Ovis aries: one gene and its partner. The protein of the gene in region 1 interacts with the protein of each later gene in a pairwise test. Links are inferred from orthologs where the notes say so. Each region holds a gene or a part of one and is shown on either strand. Other genes may lie near its edges.

Region 1 (2,590 bases):
CGTGCATGTGCGTGGGACTGGCATGCCTGTCTGAGGCTTGATAAAGAACTGCCCATGCCACAGGTTCCTGGAAATTGTGTGCAGGATCTGTTGTGCCTGTTTGCTCTTTGGAGCTTAGCACGTGCAAGGACTGACACGCATGACACACACCTGGGGAAATAACACATTTGGCACACATAGTGTACTGAGACTGTCAGTGTTTGTTGCCTTGGGGCTTGTGTGCAAAGACAGAAAAGACAGATACATAGAGGACTTAACACGTGTGGCGACCTGCATGGCTGATAGAATGTGAGGATTTAGAACATGGAGATAGGCATGATGAGGATATGGCCGGGCTTCCTATGTACTGAATCTATCATGTCCTAGACGTTAGACTCGCTTGCCTCGTAGATGGGGTCTCTGTGTGTGTGCTCACACTATCACATCTGGTGTATAAGGGCTTGCTTAGCATACACTGAGTCATCGCGCCCATCACCTGGAGGCCTGGTAGCAGCTGAGGTCATCATATTCTGGGACATGTGAGGACTTCACTTAGGCCAAACCCTCAGGTCACATGCTCAGCCAGCATGTCTGGTGTTGGGGGAAAGTTAGCATGTGCAACATACGAGGTGGGGACCCTGGTGAAAATGCATGGACACCACCTTCAAGGCTGCGGGAGCAGCAGGGACCCTCCTGGAGGGTAGCAGAGGGTGGCACTCAGGAGCTTGGGACACAGCCTCTGACGGGACCCCTGTCCCCCACAGGGTCCCGGAAGCTGGAGTATGGAGGCCAGACGTGGCATGAACACTGCTTCCTGTGCAGCGGCTGTGAGCAGCCGCTGGGCTCCCGTTCCTTTGTGCCCGACAAAGGCGCTCACTACTGCGTGCCCTGCTATGAGAACAAGTTTGCTCCTCGCTGCGCCCGCTGCAGCAAGGTGGGGGCGGCGTGGAGCTCCACTGCACTCAGGGGAGGGGGTGAGCAAGGCTCTGTTGTTGCGGGGTGGGAATCCCCACGCCTCCCCCTCTGCTGACAGAGGCTGCCCCCACAGACGCTGACACAGGGTGGCGTGACATACCGTGACCAGCCCTGGCATCGAGAATGCCTGGTCTGCACTGGGTGCCAGACGCCCCTGGCAGGGCAGCAGTTCACCTCCCGAGAGGACGATCCCTACTGTGTGACCTGTTTTGGAGAACTCTTTGCACCCAAGTGCAGCAGCTGCAAGCGCCCCATCACAGGTGGGTCAGGGGGTCCAAAGACCGAATGGGTCGGGTGTAGGCGGAGGCGGGGGGGGGCAGGGGATCTGGTCTCCATGAGGCCAAGGGACAGGACCGCCCTCCAGACGGCAGCACTAATCCTCAGCCTCCCTCCAGGACTCGGTGGAGGCAAGTATGTGTCCTTCGAAGACCGCCACTGGCACCACAGCTGCTTCTCCTGCGCCCGCTGCTCCACCTCCCTGGTGGGTCAGGGCTTCGTGCCGGATGGAGACCAAGTGCTGTGCCAGGGCTGCAGCCAGGCAGGGCCCTGAGCCAGGGCTCCGGGACTAAGGCTTCTCCTCCAGACCGCCTCTGGGACCCAGCCTTTCCCCAGTTTGGGGCTCCCCTTGGGTTCCAGGATTCAGCCTCCCCACTCCAGCGTCCTCAATCTGGTACTTCCTGACCCAGGGCCCCCAAACTTGGGCTCTCCCGGAGCCTTCATCATTCAAACCCCCTCCTCAAATCTGAACTCCAGAACTCTGTCCTCTCCCTTTGGGTCGGGCTTGCTTCCCAGACCAAGCCCTTTCTCCAAATCAGGGCTCTGGGACCCAATCCCCCTTCAATGTAGACTTGTCTACAAAGACTTTAGGTCTCCTTTGGGTGCCTGAGAGGTCCTCAAAAGTCAAATATACTCAGGCTTGACGCTCCCCACCCCTGTCCCACTGGGATCCCCAAGGATGGGGCTGTCTGGGCAGCACTGGTTAGGGGGTCCTAGGGTACAGGTTTTTGCCCATCCCGTGTTGTGTTTTCTCTTTTCATTTCAGCTCCATTTTGCCCAGAGATGGGCAGAGGGGTGGGTTTGGCTTGCCCCCGTTTCAGATTCTGCAATAAAGCAGTATGAGAAAGTGAAGGCCTCTGTTTGGCTGGGGGTAGGGGGAGCGGGCGGAGGTGGGTGGAGGGGCAAGGAAGGTTCCTTCGCCATAGCTAGGGAATTCGGAGGCTCTTCCCACCTCCTCCCCGCAGGACAGAAGGAAGCTTCCAGGCGGGGTGGGAAATCTCTCCAGAGAAAGGGGATCCCCGCCGCCGCTACCGTCCCTCTCTGGTTTAGCCGGCCTCCCTTCCACCTCCCCCGCCTGCTGGCAAAGGGCTTTTTCCTCCAGTGAGGAAGGGAGGGATTTAGGGAGTTTGCGGACCGGAGCCGGCGCGGGGGCGGCTGGTGTTGGGTTCTCCGTCAGGTACAAGTCACTCCCCTCCCTTAACAGCCCCCCACGAACCCCACGGAGCATCCAGTGCGAATCCCGAGTCTGGGCCCAGACCCTCAGCCCCCTTCCCCCTCTTTCCTAGGATTAGCGGAGGCGGCCCGGGATCCGCTCGCGGCTGCACGTTTTTTGCCAAAAAAGGCAAGGACGCAGCTGCAC
Region 2 (3,656 bases), on another chromosome or scaffold:
TGGAGTAACAGGCAAATTTGGCCTTGAAATGTGGAATGAAGCAGGGCAAAGACTAATAGAGTTTTGCCAAGAAAATGCACTGGTCATAGCAAACACCCTCTTCCAACAACACAAGAGAAGACTCTACACATGGACATCACCAGGTGGTCAACACCAAAATCAGATTGGTTATATTCTCTGCAGGAAAAGATGGAGAAGCTCTATACAGTCAAAAACAAGCACATACACAGATACTCAAAAATTTTAATCATTAGGGCAATGTAAATTAAAATACAATGAGATGCCACTACACACCCACTATAGAATGCCTATAATTAAAAAACAAATCATGATAACAAGTGTTGATGTGCAGAAATGAGAACTTTCATACATTGCTTGGTGGGAATGTGAAGTGGCACGCACCACTTTGGAAAAGTTTGCGGTATGTGGAAAAGTTACACATAAATTAAACATATAGCTTAGCAATTTTGCTTCTTGGTATCTACCTAAGGAAAATGAAAAGATGTAGCCTCACACACACTTGTCTATAAATGTTCCTAGCAGAAATTTTCATAATAACGAAATGATGACAACAATCCAAATGCCCATCAAATGAAGAATGGATAAACAAAATTTACTCTAATACTAGTCAACAATAAAAGGGAGTCAACTGGTGCATGCTACGACAGGGATGGACTTCCTTTACGTTATGCTTAGTGGAGGAAGCCAATACAAAACACTATATATTGTGCAATTCCATTCATAGAAAATGTCCAGAAAAGCCACATTTAGAGTGACCAAGAAATGATTAATTATTGCCCAGGGATGAGAATGAAGATAGCAAATTGGCTTGATTAGATTTTTAGGGTGGTGATGGAAATGTTCTATAACTAGATTAAAAAAAATTCTTTTTATTAAAGTATAGTTGATTTACGATGTTTTGTTAATTTATGTGGTACAGCAAGGGATTCAGCGTAACTAGATTTTGATTATAAATTGTTGCACAACTCAGTAGAAATTATTATGTGCGTAAGATGGTGCATTTTATATTTCTATAAATATAAATGGCACATTTACATTTATACGAATTATACCTCAAGAAAGCTGTTTAAAAAAAGTGTGCCTGTGGACTCCACTGGTATTGGCTATATACCTCAAAGACTACTTTTGTTCTCTTTGTAAAGTTGTAGGCAAGAGAATTCCCTGTGGATTCAGAATTGGTTAGCCAGCGCAGTGCCCCTTATTCCCCTGGAGTGCCATATTTGATGTATGTGGAGTGTATGTGTGATGATAGCAACATGATGGCAATCGCCCCATGGATGACCAGGAGGCCTAGCAAGTCTGGCTGGTGGCTCAGTCACTCTTTGCTGATTCACAAGGGCACCTTCCCTTAGAGGAATGGAACTGTTCTTGGATAAGGGAAAACCAGCAGTTGGACTTCTCTGTTGGAGTCCATTCCATGGGTCCACTCATGGCCCTGGACCCTCTACAGTCCCCACATGCAGCACTGTGGGTGTGATGAGACTCCTATAAATTAGTCTCTTCTGCATGTGTGTGCGTGCTAAGTCACTTCAGTCGTGTCTGACTCTTTGTGATCCCATGGACTGTAGCCCACCAGGCTCCTCTGTCCATGGGGATTCTCCAGGCAAGAATAGTGGAGTGGGCTGCCATGCCCTCCTCCAGGAGACCTTCCTGACCCAGGGAGCGAAACTGCATCTCTTACATCTTTTGCATTGGCAGGCGGGTTCTTTACCACTAGCACCACTTGGGAAGCCTTCTGCTGCACAATAATCTGCAAATACCACAAAGCTGAAACATTAAACCCTTGGTTGAGGTGGTGGCAGGGATCTAGTCTGGTTTTCCTCTGTCTCCTGAAACATCTCCCTGAAGACTGGCTTGTGGCTTCTGGGAATACATGCAGGTTGAGTGATGGGATTTATGAATAATCACCGCCTCTGCTTTATTTTCAGCTGACTATTTACCCTGGAACCAACCAAGACGAGAGCTGCTTCGTCCACCTCACCACTACCGGCCAGCATCAACCAAGTTTGATAGTCGCACCACACAGCAGGACGACTACTCCATGAAGGGCCTGGTGAACACCAGGAGCTGTAAGCCTCCAGCTGTGCCCAAGCTCTGTAACATCCCCCTGGAGGATCTGACAAACTACAAGATGAGCTACGTGCCCCACCCCTTGGAGAAGCGCTTTGTGCATGAGCCAGAGAAGTTCAGACCCTGTGAAATCCCCTTTGAAAGCCTCACCACCCACAAAGAGTCATACCGGGGTCTGATGGGGGAGCCAGCCAAGAGCTTGAAACCTGCCAGGCCTTGTGGGCTCGACACGCCATTTTCTAACACCACTGAGTTTAGAGATAAGTACCAAGCCTGGCCAACGCCCCAGGTGTTCTCCAAACCTCCTGCCATGTATGTCCCTCCTGAAGAGAAGATGGACCTTTTGACAACTGTGCAAGCCCACTACACGTACCCTAAGGGTGCCCCAGCTGAGTCCTGCCGACCTGTGCTCTCGGTCAAGAAGGGTGGCCGCTTTGAAGGCTCCACCACGACCAAAGAGGACTACAAGCAGTGGGCCAGCACGCGGACAGAGCCAATCAAGCCCATCCCCCAGCTGAACCTTCCCACTGAGCCCTTGGACTGCCTGACCACCACACGAACCCACTATGTGCCCCACCTGCCCATGATGACCAAAAGCTGCAAGCCCGTCTGGTCTGGGCCCCGAGGAAATATCCCTGTGGAGGGCCAGACCACATACACCATCAGCTTTACTCCTAAGGAAATGAGTAGGTGCCTGGCTTCATACCCTGAGCCTCCTGGCTACATCTTTGAGGAAATAGATGCTTTGGGGCACAGAATATACCGGCCCGTTTCTCAGACAGGCTCTCGGCGGAGCAGCCGTTTTTCTGTAGGTGATTCAGAAAATCCCAACCAGCAGGAGTTGACAGTGTCAGCCTGATTTTTAAAGGCTGTAATTTAGGAATTGCACAATACTTATAAAATCATATGGTTGAGCTATTCATTGGACCAAAAGAGAAAAAAAAAAAAGAATTCCCCAAAACTGAAAAAAAAATTTCATCGTTGTTTCCTGGACACTTGAATAAAACAAGAATCACTTGACTCAAGAAAAATGACATTTAATCACTGGCTAATCAGTCCCCTAACCCTCCCTCTGCTGTCTCCCCATCTTGGCCCCTTTACCCTGTGCTCATGGAATCAAAGCTGGTCTCTGAGGTTTCCTTCCCATCCAGATGTATTTTACTAGTTTAATCATTGTATACATTGACATTATGATCATCCCTTGCCAAGTATGAAGTGCCAAAGAATAAACTTCATTTTGGGGGGTTTGAATCTGCAGGTCTGTGTGTTCACGCCATGTGCTGTCTACGCAGAGAGCAGGCCGTGTTTCTTGCGACCTCTGGGGATATTTGAGCCTAAGTCTCTTGTTGCCTCCTCATCCTGGTAGGGGTGCCTCAGGCCTGATCTGGAGTCTTGTTTTGGGGCCTCTCTGCCCAGGGCTGCTTCACAGGGCATCTTTCTACCTCTTTACATCATGACATACCAGTAACAGCAGTGTTGTCTGATGGGGTATGAGTCTTGTCGTGAGTCTTGCCCATGAACCGGGCACTCAACTGAAGTTTCCTCTCCGCTGCACGCTGTTCCCC

Evidence for each region. The genes of interacting proteins can lie anywhere in the genome.
Region 2: the proteins of FHL3 (region 1) and SAXO1 interact in binary tests that used the Homo sapiens proteins (3 or more experiments, as listed by UniProt). The two-hybrid records come from large-scale screens. The link is inferred for Ovis aries from reciprocal best matches to the Homo sapiens genes FHL3 and SAXO1.

The regions. Positions count from the first base shown.
Region 1 is NC_056054.1:12,739,698-12,742,287, reverse strand, and holds the end of FHL3 (four and a half LIM domains protein 3), read left to right. Parts: intron 1-743; coding exon 744-913; intron 914-1,027; coding exon 1,028-1,504; 3' UTR 1,505-2,082; downstream 2,083-2,590. UniProt on the Homo sapiens protein: Recruited by SOX15 to FOXK1 promoters where it acts as a transcriptional coactivator of FOXK1.
Region 2 is NC_056055.1:87,518,610-87,522,265, reverse strand, and holds the end of SAXO1 (stabilizer of axonemal microtubules 1), read left to right. Parts: intron 1-1,949; coding exon 1,950-2,950; 3' UTR 2,951-3,122; downstream 3,123-3,656. UniProt on the Homo sapiens protein: May play a role in the regulation of cilium length. Stabilizes microtubules at low temperature.